2 linked regions of the Arabidopsis thaliana genome follow. The protein of the gene in region 2 interacts with the protein of the main gene of each other region in a pairwise test. Each region holds a gene or a part of one and is shown on either strand. Other genes may lie near its edges.

Region 1 (8,807 bases), on a different chromosome or scaffold from region 2:
GAGATCGTAGAAGAAGATCGTCGACACGTAGATTCCAGGACAATAGAGATCAAGGATAGAGAGCTGAAGGCGATCACGAGGTGATGGTGAAGCAGGTTTGATCACTTCTTTCCCGGTCACCTCTAGCTTCGCTTCCATCGTCTTCCTTTAAAAGTCAACGGGTTACAAGATTGAAGTATTGAGGAAACTTTGACAAGAGGAGAAGATGGAAGAGACAAATGGATCAGAGATGTGTCCTTTTAAACTGGTAGTTGAATCGTTGATACAAGTTTCAACTCCTATCCATGTGTCCACACTAGGAACAAAATTTAATTTAAGAAAAAATAAAGTCTGCTAACAATGTTTATTTAATTCATTCATATTAGTAAATTAAATAAAACTTCAAATGCTTAAAATAGACGACTATGTAATATTTAATTGGTGATAGTAATATAATTCGACTTCTAAACAAACAAAAAAAAACATATATTGAAGATTGATTTAATTGTATTTAAAATTTTAGAGAGCGTTTATGAATTATAAAAGGGGAAATAATTTTGAAATATATAGTTATATATATAGAAATAAAATAAAAAATCAGAAAGAAAATATAAACGTTATGAGAAAGAAAAAAGAGCAAATGATAGTGGCATATACCAACTGGTAAAACTTCTAAGAGGATTGTTTGTTAAAAGTCTCACATCGAATATGAGACTGAGCCCTAGTCCAAAAATTACTAAAATGGTCAAAATGATTTGTTCAAAAAGGGGGTATGGAACCTCACTAAAATAATAGTGGTTGCATTTTAGTAAGTGAGGTTAGACTAATGGTTGAATTTTAGTAAGCCAAAAACTTTCCATCAGTAATTGCTAATTGGATCAACTAAATGCCATCACACAAAGAAACTATTGCTGAAATTGAATATTGATATTATCAAATTTTGGTATATCTCCAACAACCATAGTCCTCAACAAACATAGAGTAAGTCTAGTTCCTAAATTTTCAATATCTAGCTGTTTTTTTCTTTTCAATATCCAACTTAGTAAACACATTGTTCAGAAACACGCCAAAAAAAAAAATCAACACATCTCAAACCATCATTATCCAGAAGGGTACAGTAAATCCAGTTCCTAGTTTTCGATTTCTAACTTCAAAAATGCTCTCTTTCTACATACACTTTTTTACAAGTCTCTATCACAGAATCGGAACATGTGGATAGAGCAATGGTTAGTAGACTCTTTTCCCCGACCACTCTTTGACGTTCCTCGATAAATCCGAACCTAATGATCAATGAACACGACGAGTCATTTATACAAAGGCAACAACAAAATGTGGTTTCTTCTCAGTTTGCTTCCTTGAAAATTTAGCTGTTATATACTAAAAGGCCTTTTGTAAGGCTAAAAGGCCAAGCCTTTGGGCCCATTAACATCACCGTTTATTCGAAACGTATGTTGTTAAGACTTGAGAGAAGTTTGACGGTGAAAAAAGGAAAATATTTACATATATATAGTAAAATTAAAATAGTAGAAAGAAAAAAATCAGAAAGCTACGAAAGAAAAAAAAAACAATCTAGCAACAGAAGAAGCTTCGAGAAGACGATGGCGACGGAGACGAACGAGAATCTGATAAACTCCTTCATCGAGATCACTTCTTCATCAAGAGAAGAAGCTAATTTCTTCCTCGAAAGTCACACTTGGAATCTAGACGCTGCCGTTTCAACTTTCCTCGATAACGATGCCGCCGCAGCCGCCGAACCAAACCCTACCGGGCCACCACCACCTTCTTCTACTATTGCCGGTGCACAATCTCCTTCTCAATCTCACTCTCCCGATTACACTCCGTCTGAAACCTCTCCCTCTCCTTCCCGATCACGATCTGCTTCTCCGTCTTCTCGCGCTGCTCCCTACGGTCTCCGATCGAGAGGCGGTGCTGGAGAGAATAAAGAAACTGAGAATCCGTCGGGAATTCGGAGTTCTAGGAGTCGTCAACACGCTGGGAATATCCGTACATTCGCCGATCTGAACCGTTCTCCGGCTGATGGCGAGGGCAGTGATTCGGATGAAGCTAATGAGTATTATACCGGTGGACAAAAGAGGTACAATTTTCAACAGATCTGATCATAGTTTGGAAAATACTTAGATGATAATACTGTTGAGAAAGTGAATTAGGGCAACATGATCATGAACTTGAGCAATGTGCGTAGATCAATGATAGTTTAGGGATTGACCATATCTTGTGTATGTAGCTGAATTGTCTTTCTTGAAATTCTTATATAGCTGGAGAAAGTGTATGTTTGTGTCGCTAATAGAGTTTTGTTTTTGGATTGTGTAATGTGTTGTAGTGGGATGATGGTACAAGATCCTAAGAAAGTGAAAGATGTTGATGAACTTTTTGACCAAGCTAGGCAGTCAGCTGTAGACAGACCTGTTGAACCATCAAGATCAGCTTCTACAAGCTTCACTGGAGCTGCGCGTTTGTTGTCTGGTGAAGCTGTTTCGTCTTCTCCTCAGCAACAACAGCAAGAGCAGCCTCAAAGGATTATGCACACCATCACTTTCTGGTTGAATGGTTTCACTGTTAATGATGGTCCGTTAAGAGGGTTCAGTGACCCTGAAAACGCAGCCTTTATGAATGTAATGTCCAGATTTTCTCTAATTAGTAACTACAATTCCATGGAAATCAAGCTTGATACTTGTCTTTACTCACTTGGATAGTCTTTGAATCCCTAATATATATGTTGTCTTTTGCAGAGCATCTCAAGGTCAGAGTGCCCCAGCGAACTCGAACCAGCAGATAAGAAGATCCCTGTTCATGTCGATCTGGTCAGGCGTGGAGAAAATTTCACCGTAAGTCTCATTCCCATCTATCAATAATAATCTCGTTAACCTATTCTCTGGAGAAGCCACTCATAGGATTCTTTTAACGTCTGTATCTTTTGACTCACAGGAACCACCAAAGCCTAAAAATCCATTCCAAGGTGTAGGAAGAACCCTAGGAGCCAGCGGATCTGGTTCAAGTTCAGCACCACAAGCTTCATCTGCCCCAATGAACGTAGCACCAGCACCATCAAGAGGGCTAGTTGTAGATCCAGCAGCACCGACAACCTCTATCCAGCTCAGATTAGCAGACGGAACACGCCTTGTCTCCAGGTTCAACAACCACCACACTGTCAGAGATGTACGTGGGTTTATCGACGCTTCTAGACCCGGTGGCTCCAAAGAGTACCAGTTGCTAACCATGGGGTTCCCTCCTAAACAATTGACAGAATTGGACCAAACCATCGAGCAAGCTGGTATAGCTAATGCCGTCGTCATCCAGAAATTCTAGACTTACATAACTCATCCCTTCGATTTATGTCTCTCTTTTTTTTTTTTTGCTTTTGTGTTTTTGAACCTGATCGTTGACTTTAGTCTCTAACTATCTGGTCAACGCTCTAGAGGCTTTGGATTTTCGTAGATTTATCAAACTCTTTTCTTCAGATTTATTAATAACTTTAGCAGTTTAGCTTTTGCATAATTTATTTATTTCTTCAATCGACTAGCTACTACCATATCTTTTAGAAAGAATAATCGAAAAAATATTATCCAATGAGCAAATTACTTATATCCTTGGACTCGTGAATTGACGAATTGACCAGCTTCTGCATAAATTCCACACACATACGCTCTCCTAATATCAGGGACATAATGGTAATTAACGTACCTGCCCATCTGTCATTTTCCTTGTTCTCTTCAAAACCTTTTTTTTGGAAAATTAATTTTATTTTTTTGTAAACAGTTCTATAATGTCTGTTATTCGGAATCCAAAGAAAGCCAGAGATATTGAGATTTACAGTGAAAATCTACAGAGGAAGAGATAGCGAAGGACAATTATTAATTTATTTTCCTATTTTAGTTTTCATTACAACCTTAATCTTCGTGTTGTGTGTTCTGTAACTTCCCAGATTTTTTTTTTCTCTTTGCTGGGCTTCGTTGCCTTTTCCCCTTTTTTTCTCTTTCCTCTGCTCTCGATTCAGTTTAGGGCGAGAAAAAGTAGCTGTTTTTACAGGGTTTATCACAAAGATCCTTCCTTTTTTACTTGAAGCTCGCCATTTTCTTAGGGTTTCTCTTGATTTCATTCATCTCCAGTGCCCAGATCTCTCTCTCTACTCATCTGCCATTTGTAAGCTCCTCTTCTTCCTCCTCTCTCCAAAGTTTACATTTTGTTGTTTTCTCTGGATCTTCTTAAGCTAATCTTTGATTCTGTTTATGAGATTGTGTTTCCGATTATGAATTTAGGCTTTGTCTACATGCAGGGCTGTGTTCAATGATTAGGGTTTTGATTTAGAACCAAAGCTTTTGGGTTTTACTGGTTTAGTTTAGGCTTGTTGCGAAGTAGAGAAAAAAAGGGAAGGGTTTTGGCCCTTTTGTGGGGAGATAATTTAGGGTTTCTGTAATTATGATCAAACAGATATTTGGGAAATTGCCCAGAAAACCTTCAAAATCTTCGCATAATGACTCGAATCCAAACGGAGAAGGTGGGGTTAATTCATATTACATTCCCAATTCGGGTATTAGTAGTATCTCGAAGCCTTCTTCGAAATCATCCGCATCGAATTCGAATGGAGCAAATGGAACTGTTATTGCTCCTTCTTCAACGAGCTCTAACAGAACCAATCAAGTCAATGGAGTTTATGAAGCATTGCCAAGCTTTAGAGATGTTCCTACCTCGGAGAAACCTAATCTGTTTATCAAGAAGTTGAGTATGTGTTGCGTTGTGTTCGACTTCAATGATCCGTCGAAGAATCTGAGAGAGAAAGAGATAAAGAGACAGACTTTGCTTGAGCTTGTTGATTATATTGCAACGGTTTCTACAAAGTTGAGTGATGCTGCAATGCAAGAGATTGCGAAAGTGGCTGTTGTTAATCTTTTCAGGACGTTTCCTTCTGCGAATCACGAGAGTAAGATTCTCGAAACGCTTGATGTGGATGATGAGGAACCTGCTTTAGAGCCGGCTTGGCCTCATCTTCAAGTTGTCTATGAGCTTCTTCTTAGATTTGTGGCCTCGCCTATGACTGATGCAAAGCTTGCAAAGAGATATATTGACCATTCATTTGTCTTGAAGCTCTTGGATTTGTTTGACTCTGAAGACCAGAGAGAGAGGGAATATCTAAAGACCATTCTTCATCGGATATACGGGAAATTCATGGTGCACCGACCCTTTATCAGAAAGGCGATCAACAATATCTTCTACAGATTCATTTTTGAAACCGAAAAGCATAACGGTATTGCAGAGTTGCTTGAGATACTAGGAAGTATAATCAACGGTTTCGCTTTACCGTTAAAAGAAGAGCATAAGCTCTTCCTAATCCGGGCATTGATTCCACTCCACAGACCTAAATGTGCATCTGCTTATCATCAACAGCTTTCTTATTGCATTGTTCAGTTTGTAGAGAAAGACTTCAAGCTTGCTGATACGGTCATTAGAGGACTTCTAAAGTATTGGCCTGTGACTAATAGTTCAAAGGAAGTTATGTTTCTTGGAGAGTTGGAAGAAGTTTTGGAAGCAACTCAAGCAGCTGAGTTTCAGCGATGTATGGTTCCTTTATTTCGTCAAATCGCTAGATGCCTCAACAGTTCACATTTTCAGGTGCGACTCTCGATAAGTTGTTCATATAGTCTCGCAATTTTGCAGGTTATATTCAAAGTTGCTTCTTTTGTCAGGTGGCTGAAAGGGCTCTATTTCTATGGAACAACGATCACATAAGAAACCTGATTACTCAAAACCATAAAGTGATAATGCCCATTGTGTTCCCGGCTATGGAGAGAAACACACGGGGGCATTGGAACCAAGCAGTTCAGAGTCTGACTTTGAATGTGAGAAAGGTAATGGCAGAGACAGACCAAATTCTGTTTGATGAATGCTTAGCCAAGTTCCAAGAAGATGAAGCGAATGAAACCGAGGTTGTAGCCAAACGAGAAGCAACATGGAAGCTTTTGGAAGAGTTAGCAGCTTCGAAATCCGTAAGCAACGAGGCAGTGCTCGTCCCCCGATTTTCATCTTCAGTTACTCTTGCAACCGGTAAAACTTCGGGTAGTTGAACACTTTCTGCTCTCTATCACCGAGACATACTTTCAAACAATCCAGCAGAATTGTATCGATCCGTTCGAGCATCAGGATCAGTCCTTGAAGAAGATTAAGCACGATGATTAAGAAGGGCAATATCATCAGTGAATACTTAATTATAACATTTTTTTCAGGTTTATGGAATCATGGGTTCAATTGTTTGTTGCTTCTGATCCTTTTTTTTTCTTACTCAGCTCTTAGTTGAATAACAATCTGAGGTGTAAGAAATATGGCTTATAGATATAGTTCTTGAGAGGACGACTAAACAATTATTCGTATTTGTATTGTGGAATGAATTGTATTTTATGCTTTGAAGTTCATTAATTTAGCTCCCCTACTAACCAAATCATAACCGAAGTTATCGAATCTCGGTTTGGTTCGGTATATATGCAACGGCATTTTCGTAAACAAGTCATGTTTTTTTTCGTGTGAGTTTTAGAAAATACAAAAATCATATATAACACTAGATTTTAATTTAAAGTTAGTATAATTTTTTTTTTGCAAATTGTATCTATCTATAATATATTTTTATTTTATAGTTTACAATTGTTATTAAGTAACGTCCTGCCAAACCCGTCCCGCCAAACCTGTCCTGTAAAAAAATCATTTATTTATATTAATATTGATCTTATTTATGATATGTTTATAAATCATTCTCTAAATATTTTTGTCGATGCAGGACATTGAACCCACACATTGTTTGCCAATTGGTTAATATATGTTCATTTTTAAAATTTTGAATCATAAAATGTGACAGAAAAAATTAAGATTTTTTTAAACTCTATATATTATATAATGATGTTAAAAAATTGTGATATATCAAACTTTTTATAAGTTTAAATATTAATAATGTTTTATAAATTTTAAATATATAAATAATAATATTTAAAAAATTAATATTTTTGCTTATAAGGTAATGACATAATAACTCTAAAAGCAAGGATTTAGAAGATTTAAATCTTTAATTAAATATTTTCATTAATAAATAATTAATGTCAGTGACATGACATTGTAAATAAGTTTAAATACAAAATTTATTTATTTAAACAAAAAACGGTTAGTAAGAATAATATTTATTTAACAAAAAACTTTGTTTTAAAATATTGTTAACAAATGTCTATGCTAATTTTAAGGGATTGATTTGAATTTTGTTGGGATTAAATTTGATTGATAATGTGATTGACTATTTAAATCAAAAATTTAAAATAAAATTAATTATTTTGGAAAAAAGATTTAATGCTAATGGCATTAGATTGTAAATAAGTTCAAGTCCAGGATTTATTTGCTAAAATGGTTGCAAAAATGTATATATAGATAGTGTAAAAATAAATTGAATTACCGATGTATTTTTAAAAAAAATCGTGAAATCTAATTTATTTACGGAAAAATATTACCACATTATTTTTGCAAATATTGTGTATGGTAATGAATCCAATCCATTATTCTAATTTGTTCTTAGTCAATGAGTGGTATTCAATTTCATTGTCCCGGTCCCACGGACTGACTACTCAGCAACCCAATCTTACAAAGTCAAAGTCAACTTTTATTTTGTTTCTCTTTTTTTCCGTTTCCATCCCAAATTCATTTCTTTATAAATTATTTATTCCTAAAAGGATTTGTAAATTAACCTAATTTGCATTTCAAAATATTTTTATCTATTTTAGTATTAAATTGGAATAATTGTTATTTTTGTATTAAAAAAACACTAATATCCAAAATTGTTATATTGCTTTTTATTTTGCTTTTTTCTATTTTTAATTTCTATTTTTTAATAGCATCGCCGTATCGTCGCATCGATACTCGGATTTAGTAAATAAGTGTTTTTTAGCAAGAGTTTATGCAAGTCCGCTTCGATTAAAGTATCTAAACCAAAATCCAAACACGTGGGAGTTTCCGTTTTAATTTCTAGTTATATTATACCCTTCGTTATTTAAGATATAAAACAGCAATTTATTATCACTAATTGATAAAACCTTCATTGCAAATATAAACTAGATTTTAAAAATAAAATTTGACTTTTAAAATACAATGTAATATTATTAATGATATAAAAACAAAAAACCTAAAATGGTATTGAAGTGTCAAACAGAGGAAGTATATGATATATATGTAATTAACTAGTCAAAATCTGCTGTGATAACGACCAATTCTAAACAATTATAAAATCTTCTAAAAATTAATGAGAATCTACTATATTTAATAACTAAAATAATAGAAGGATGACAATTGACAACTATAACAATATTGAAGAAGTCATACCAAATATATTAAGACGTGTATAAAAAGGGTATCATAACCGAAGACTTAAGATGAACAAGACACAAACACAACAGAAACTTAACCAAAGACATATCTCTCTCTCCTCAAACCCACCTCTTGTCTCTATGGGATCGCAACTCTCAAACGCAATCGACGGTAAAGATAACACCAAAACCATCGGATCAGCGGATCCGGACCAGCTTATGGAGATCGAATCCTTGGAGAAGATCTTAAATTACAAGTTCAAAGACAAGAGTTTGTTGCTGAAAGCGTTCACAGACGCTAGTTACGTTGATGACAAGAGTGAATCGTACGAACTCCTAGAACTTTTAGGAGATTCGATCCTAAATATGGGTATAATCTATGATTTTATTAAGCTCTACCCTAAAGAAGCACCTGGTCCGTTGACCAAGCTCCGAGCCGTCAACGTAGATACCGAGAAATTGGCACGGGTCGCTGTAAAT
Region 2 (8,153 bases):
AATGGTCAGGATTCATAACTCTTACTAATAATTAATAACAGTGGAGTAACTCTAACCAGTAGATTTCACATTTTTAACGTTACGCGCCTACAAAGCGCGTGCACAACAAAATTCTAAAATATCCACGTGGTTTCAGTCTATTTCCACGTGGTTAATTACTAAAATGCCACCTGGAGGATCTCCTATCTCTTATTCGTCGGCTCGGATCTTGTTTTTGTCGAAGCTACTCTTTTAGCTTAAATATCCATAGAAAACTAAACTCACGGCCGTTCACGAATATTAAATGTAACAGCCCCGAATTATTCTTAGGTGGCAAGTTGAGATTGGTTGGATTACGTTATCTTTTGAGATGAGTAGTCACCAAAAGGACTTTTTACGACAGTGAAAAGAATTCTAAAGCAAAGAAAATGCCACGTCGGAGTTTAGAGTCCCGCCAAATAAATCTGTCGGAATGCTCTCTTTTTCTTAACTTAACTTGTCGACGAATAAAAAGAAAATTAACTGATTGACTATGTAGATGACACGTGGTGACTTTTCGAGTTATTGCTTTTTGCCAACGTGGCAATAGTATTGATCGTCCGCTTAACCCTAGCCGTCAGAGGAAAATTTCTCAATCAGACCATTAAACATTACATAAAGCGATTATTTTGTTTGGTTTAAAATTCGAATGGTTTTCAATTAAAAAGAAACACAAATAGTATTAAACATATTTTGTACTACTATTTTATAATTGTTTGTCGTATGCGAAGATACGTTTATATGTGTAAAAAATTCCCTTCATTAACGCACTAAGGCATATCGAAAATTGTGAGCTCTTGGTATTTTAATCGTATGATCATATAGTTTATTGGATAAATCATATAGAGGTCTTTAAAATAATATACAGCGAACATGGCACCATGACTGTTTATTCATTATTATAATCATTATCATTTCAAATCTAAGAAAATGCAAGAAAGAAAGTACACATTGCCACAAATTATAATATTTTATACTGTTATGAGACTAGATTAATCGTTGAAGTTATAAACATTACTTTATATTAGAAACAGTTGATAGAAGGCTAGGCAACTGATTAGGACGTATTTGTATATTTCTGTATTTATTATACCTATAATTCGATATGTATTTAGATAAAGAAAAGTCAAAATATTTTATTCCAACATTTAGTGTGAGATATAATTTATTATTTGCGGTTTAAATAATTGATGAGAGATGAGGTATGTGGAAGCCTTTTTTTGCTTATGCTAAAACCATTTTGCTGATATAAAATATGGAAAGAAATAATAATTAAGGTTTTTGGTAATGGCGATTTGCTATTACTTTGACCTAAACTTGCCATGATAGATTGAAAACAATAGGCATGATAGAGAGATCCCATTTTTTTATAATGGACACAACTATACAATTAATTTGGTGGCATAAGAGAGAGTCTCTGATACGTTTGAAAGAAAGTGGTTATGTACACATAATCACAACAAATTATAATATTGTTTGATTATACTTTCTCTATTACAATTGACTGTTTTCTCTTCTTGTTTTTTTTTTTTTGCTTTATATTTGAAAGCTTTGAGGGCCCTGAAAGAAAATATAGCCCCATGCCATAAATAAAGGATCCACATCCATTGGGTCCTCTTTTTCTTTCTTTTGTTTCATGTGTAATCAGGAAAAGAAAAGTTGTAATTTTGTCAATGTAGATGGTATATTAATTGATTTCCATATGAAATTGAATAGTTATGATGATATCAATGGTATCTTTACATGATTTAGTAGCAGCTTCTACAAACTATTACTCTCATTCTAAATAGCAAGGCCATACAATAGCAAAAGATAAGCCCAAAAGCCCATTGACAGGAAAAGTAAAGAAGAAATCAGAACATTCGTAGCAACATTCAAAGAAAGCCGAATCCAAGTATGGCTTAAGCAGAGGTGATGATGTATATACAAGTCAAAGAACTTAAATTCTTTAGAACAAAGTTTTAAACTTGAGAAAAAGCTCTTCTTTTAATCGAATCAATGATACCCAATTGGAGCTGGAGCTTCCTTTAGTTCACGACCTTGGTAGTGAATATCCTACAAAGTAAAACCATAATTGATCAGTAACACACGATTTTAAGCTTTAGAATTTAGTCTCAAGCAAATAATATACTTACAGATGCAAAATGGTTTACATCACGGTGATGAGCCTCGTCAGCACGAACAACCATCACAACATCACGAAGTGTCGCATCAGCAGGAAGCCTCCAGTAATCAATAGCAATAGCCGGAGCAGGAACATTCTCAATGTTACCTTTGTCAAGTTCCTTGAGAAACTCAGTATAAGAATGGATCGCTTCTTCTTCAAGGTACCCAACCATACGATGAGCAAACTTGGGAGAGATTAAGTAACCAAGGAAATAAGCGTTGAAGAAGACTCCTTGCACAGTGATCACGAGCGCTCTCTCGTACCATTTCGGTTTCGCGACTTCCATGAATGTCATAAGATGCATTCTCTCATTCTCTGCTTCCTCAAGAAGAGCCTTAATCCATCCTCCACTTTGCTCAAAACGTCGAAGCGATTTGCAGTGTAGTAACATTCCTCCAACCATTCCAGGTACTGCTGCTACAGTTTCAAGCATCATAGCTCGACATCCATATCTCCTCTGTTTTAATTCACAATATCACAATCAGACCAACAATTAACCAATAATTCATTACATAATGATAATTAACCAACAATTAACCAAGAATCCAAAGCACTAACGAAGTGATTAATATAATAAACACATATATTCCAAAATAATCAAACAAAATATTGACTAGTTGCTATAAAAAGAATGAAATAAAATATTTAAGGTTACACGTAATCAATGACGATATCAGATTTGGATCATTTCCATATCATAAAATTGGCAAAAAATGTAAAGAAATTTTCCATGGGAGAAGAAGAAGAAGAACAGTACCTGGAAGAACAAATCGGTAGGCCAACGAAGAGATTTAACAGTCCAATAAGCTATTCTATCAAGAAACGTCGTTGGAACATGATGCTTCTTCAGATCTATCGTTATATCAGCTTTATACGTTTCCCATGGCTGCAAAAATCCAAAGAAATTTCAACAAATTTACACAGATCAACGAAGAACAACACTGTATACGAATCTAGCTATAACGTACCCTGAAACAGTTCCACTTCCATTCAGAACCATCTTCTTTAGTAATCTTATTAGGTTCAACACCCCAATAGCTCGCGATTCCTTTATCTCCCTTGTTATTACCTCCGGCGGCGTCTCCACCGGTGGATTCGTTCTCTGTTTTCTTCTGATTCGCGTCCTCCTCCTTCATCGGAGTTTTCTCTCCCAGAGTGATCGTGCTAGCGAATCTCATACCTCCAATCGTCGGAGCTCTAGTCCATATCCAAGCAGATGTAACACCAGGCTTCAAAATATGGCTTGCTGATAAAGCCTCGTGAGACGAAACCGTACGGACCGTCGAGAACAAACGTGGTCCAGCCGCCACTAACAGCGATTTCGCCGCCTTGGCTCCACCGCGAGTTATCATCATTGTTTCAAATCGGAAAAAGTGAAATCTCAAATCCAAGAATTTAGGAAAATTGTAGGAGAACTCTTTTTTTTTTTGGTTTACTTTGTCGTCTTTATACGCTTCACACGCAGGTCTCGAGCAAGGTTTATATAGTAAGAAAACGAACGGTTGATGATCGAAACTCTTCACGTAGATGTAATGAGACTATGACACGTGTATAAAGTATAACAGTTTTCTTGTGTGGTTTATATTTAGGATGACTGTGTTACCCTTGTGGTCATGAGAGAGACTATGTTTACGACTTTTCTTTGACTGAGGGTGTTTATGTAAATTTAAAGCCGGTGTAGATTTTTCTTGGAGAGCAAGATGGAAGATACTTGCGTGGTCGCCAAGAGCTAGATTCTTATTGGTCAAATTTAATGATATCGTGTGTGGGTATTATTACGCGTTGTGGTGTTTTAGTATTTTTGCTAATATTCTGTTTCAACTAAGTCAAAATTAGACGAAAATAGTCCTAATTAGATTTTATTGTCAATTTTGTTCGATTCTTTCAAACAAATTTATTCGATTTTCATTATATTTAAGGGCTGGGTGTTCAGTTTTTCGGTTTGGTTTCGTTTCGGTTTTAGGTTTTACGGTTTTTCGATTTTAAGAAAAGTAAAACCATATAAAAACCATATAAAATTCGGTTTGGTTACGGTTCGGTTTTAACAGTTTTACAGTTTTTGGTTTTAAAAAATTAAAACCATTTAAAAACCATATGTATTTTGGTTCGGATCGGTTCCGGTTTGGTTCCGGTTTTTTCATGTTTTTACCAAAAAAAATTATAAGTGTGATGCATAAATAAAATCAAAATCTAATTTGTAAACTCAAATCCTAAATGACGGCATGTAATTTATATAGAATTTTAGTTTAGGTTACAGTTAGGGTTTTGTTTTTCGATAGTTTGATAGATATCATGTTATCAAATGAACATTATATATATATATATACAATTATTTTTAATTTAAATCAAAAACAAAAAAAACGTTCGGTTTTACGGTTTTTAATCAAACCAAACCTAAACCAAAACTTAAATAAAAATTACAATCAAATGGGTTTTTATACAAAACCATAACCAAACCAAACCATTTGTTTTGGTTTGGTACGGTTCGGTTTTTCGGTTTTCGTTTTTTTTCCCACCCCTATTAATTTAACATTTATATATGATGGATTCAAGCCTACTTCATTTTAGTGGGGTTTAATGGACATATCTATGGTTATATTCAAACTTCAAAGCCTTGGGTTTGTAAAGTTTTATTTCTAGCCTAAGTGTATATGTAAACATATCATGTAAGCACTGATTTATTAGGAGAATGAAAACAAACAAAACACTCTTTTATGAAGCAAAAAGAAAGCAAGCACAAATAAGCTTACTCTAAGGCCCACTAAATTTTAACAAATACCCATTAAAGCCCATTTAGGAACAAGGAAAACAAAACTGGACCGTATCAAAACGACAAAACAAAGCTAGAAGCTCTTCAGATTCAATGATATCCAATGGGAGCTGGAGCTTCTTTTAGCTCACGACCTTGGTAATGAATATCCTGCAATTTTTATTAAAACCATGAAAACAATCTAATCATCTTTTAAACATAAGTAAGTTTCCTATAATACAATTCACACTACTTACGGATGCATAGTGGTTAACATCACGGTGATGCGCTTCATCAGCACGGACCACCATGACGACATCACGAAGCGTCGCATCAGCTTCAAGTCTCCAGTAATCAATGGCAATAGCCGGTGCAGGCACATTTTCGATGTTACCATTATCGAGTTCTTTAAGAAACTCAGTGTAAGAGTGGATTGCTTCTTCCTCAAGGTATCCAACCATACGATGAGCAAATTTGGGAGAAATTAGGTATCCAAGGAAATAAGCATTGAAGAAAATGCCTTGAACGGCAATCACAAGAGCTCGTTCGTACCAATTAGGTTTCGCGACTTCCATGAATGTCATTAAATGCATTCTCTCGTTCTCTGCTTCTTCAAGTAGGGCTTTGATCCAACCACCGCTTTGTTCAAACCGTCGAAGCGATTTGCAGTGTACTAACATCCCTCCAACCATTCCTGGAACCGCTGCAACCGTTTCTAGCATCATTGCTCTGCATCCGTACCGCCTCTGCGGTTAACTCGTTGGCAAGATTAGTCCAAACATACAAAGCATTTGAAATGACAAAACCATAGAAAGCTAAGACTGTCACCTGGAAGAAAAGATCGGTAGGCCATCGAAGAGATTTCACGGTCCAATAAGCTAGTTTGTCCGGTAAAGTCGATGGAACATGATGCTTCTTCAAATCTATAGTCAGATCTGATTTATATGTCTCCCATGGCTACAGTTATTCCACACAAAAACTCAAATCATACATATAAATCGACCACAGAGTTCTAATATAATACCAAAGATGTAATGTACCCTAAAGCAACTCCATTTCCATTCAGTTCCATCTTCTTTGGTGATCTTCATCGGCTTCACTCCCCAGTAGCTAACGATTAATTGCTCCCCTTTGTTACCTTGATCAGCCTTGCCACCGCTAGATCCTTTCTCCTCCGTAGTTTTCTTCTTCTCAAATGTCATCTTGCTGAAAACTCTCACGACTCCCATCGCCGGAACCCTAATATTTTCCGTCACGAGAGGAACCCTAGGATTCAAAAGATGGCTGTGAGTCACAGCAGTTTCCATTAGCTTGGCTCCATAGCGACGACTCATCATCATTATGCAGATCGAAAATGAACAGTGGAACTTGATTAATGATAGTGTTTTTTTTTTGTTTTTTTGCATTTGGTAACTCCTAAACTGACATCTATTTATAGCAATTACGGAACTCTAGGATCAATGTATACAAGAAAGCGTAAAATTCGTCTAATTTGACTAAAAGACTTGTAGCACACGAAAAGACAAACTAATCCGCAAGTTTATGCTCAAAAACTGTGGACATTTTTTAAGTAAAAGCTTGTAGTAATAATCTTTTTTCTATAGACTTGGCTGGTGATATTCGTCAGCCGTTTTAATTCATGTTTTGATTAATTAGATTAATATAATTAAAAAGTTAAAAAAATCCTCTGTTCCAAAACAGAGACGTATTTGTGTAGTGTCTTATAGTTTCTTTGATGTATCTAACAATAACTGTGTCGCAAACTGTTGAAACCATTGGACAACCTTCTCGGTTTGAATATCATGGACGCAATTACTTGTTTCAAACCATAGGGTCTGAATGGTTGCAGCGGTTAAGGCGGACAAATCCGTTTATGGACTTGACCGATATTTAGTTACCATTCATAAATTGTGTCTGTAGTTATTTACCATTCATAGAATTGTGCTTATATATACAAATAGAGTTGATCTACATCGGTTTGTTATCCATCCTAAAAATAGAGCAAACTAAACTGCTGAGTGGATTTGTCCATCCCGACCGCCGCCACCATTCAAACAATATAGACGAATCTCAGTGTATCTATGAAACTGATCATTACTAAAATTTACCCAAAATGTTCGCAATAAAATCGATTTTCCCCCCAATTTGATGATTTTGAATCCATCTTGACGATGTCGAAGTAGGATATCCTCGGGTTTTTGATTCCGCTAGCGATGATCGAAACCTCTCCAGACAGAGTGATAACAAGATGATTGTCATTTGTTTCTGAAATCCAGCCTAGAGCAGGCTCTCAAAGGTAAGAATCATAAACTATACAACACGAAGAAAAAGAATAAACTACCAAAAAACTTTCATTAAATTATTCAACCAAAGGGAAAACAAATGAGAGAGGACTAGTGTATCTTATTTTTATCGACTAGTTTTTTTTCTTCTCTTTTTTACTCTCTATCTCTCTTACAAGATTTGAACCAAACTTGGAACATAATTGTAAATAAATGGAAACCACCACCATTTTTTTGTAAATTTTTCAGAAAATCTACATAACCACCATGGCTTGTTTGTAGCATAAGGGATTTCTGAGTAATATTTATTGTCTTCTCCAATAGTGAATATCAAGTTCCCGTCGGTCTCGAAATCTAAATTACAACACAAGGCCACTTTCTTCTCCTCGTTGATTAAAAGACTCGCGAAAACCTCAGAACAATGACCGCCAATGGGTAAATCCACTATAAAGGATTTGCTCCACAACAAAGCAGCTTCTTCAGTACCAACTTTATTGGTTACAAATATCTCCATCTTTGATGTCTCAATCTCTTGTAACACTGAGAGTTGTTCTTCTCCAACAACTGATAGAGCCATAAAACCATGATCTCGAGATGGCGGAAGACCAATATGATTAAATCTCTCTGTTGTAAAATCAAAACTACGTAAGAAGTCCTTTTTATTAGAACCAAACCAGTAAGTGTTTCCCTTTAAAGACACGACACTTACTGGTGGGAAGCGGTCATCAGGGACGTCATCAAGAACCTTCCATGAATCAGATCTAAAGTCATATATTTCAAACCTGAAACGTCCGCCGTCGTCTGGTATGTGATCGTGAAACCAACCCCAATACCTCAAGATTTTGTAGTTACGACGACAAAATTTGTTGTTTTCGTATCCTAGAGCAAACGTAGAGTATCTCCTGCATTCATCTTTGAGTTGGATCCACCTGGTTTC

Evidence for each region.
Region 1: the proteins of AOX1A (region 2) and ATB' GAMMA interact in a two-hybrid assay, tested with the Arabidopsis thaliana proteins (one study listed by BioGRID).

What each region holds. Positions count from the first base shown.
Region 1 is NC_003075.7:8,813,291-8,822,097, forward strand, and holds ATB' GAMMA (Protein phosphatase 2A regulatory B subunit family protein), read left to right. Parts: upstream 1-3,631; 5' UTR 3,632-3,668; intron 3,669-3,740; exon of another isoform or gene 3,741-3,756; 5' UTR 3,757-4,140; exon of another isoform or gene 4,141-4,273; 5' UTR 4,274-4,416; coding exon 4,417-5,607; coding exon of another isoform or gene 5,608-5,681; coding exon 5,682-6,059; 3' UTR 6,060-6,437; downstream 6,438-8,807. Other genes in the region: BIA1 (HXXXD-type acyl-transferase family protein), read right to left, coding at 1-138; PUX5 (serine/threonine protein phosphatase 2A 55 kDa regulatory subunit B prime gamma), read left to right, coding at 1,578-2,074, 2,321-2,612, 2,730-2,825, 2,926-3,306; RTL1 (RNAse II-like 1), read left to right, coding at 8,394-8,807.
Region 2 is NC_003074.8:7,902,277-7,910,429, reverse strand, and holds AOX1A (alternative oxidase 1A), read right to left. Parts: upstream 3,910-8,153; 5' UTR 3,541-3,909; coding exon 3,154-3,540; intron 3,072-3,153; coding exon 2,943-3,071; intron 2,643-2,942; coding exon 2,154-2,642; intron 2,074-2,153; coding exon 2,014-2,073; 3' UTR 1,684-2,013; downstream 1-1,683. Other genes in the region: AOX1B (alternative oxidase 1B), read right to left, coding at 5,046-5,105, 5,192-5,680, 5,763-5,891, 5,975-6,274; AT3G22350 (F-box and associated interaction domains-containing protein), read right to left, coding at 7,389-8,153. UniProt on the Arabidopsis thaliana protein: Catalyzes the cyanide-resistant oxidation of ubiquinol and the reduction of molecular oxygen to water, but does not translocate protons and consequently is not linked to oxidative phosphorylation.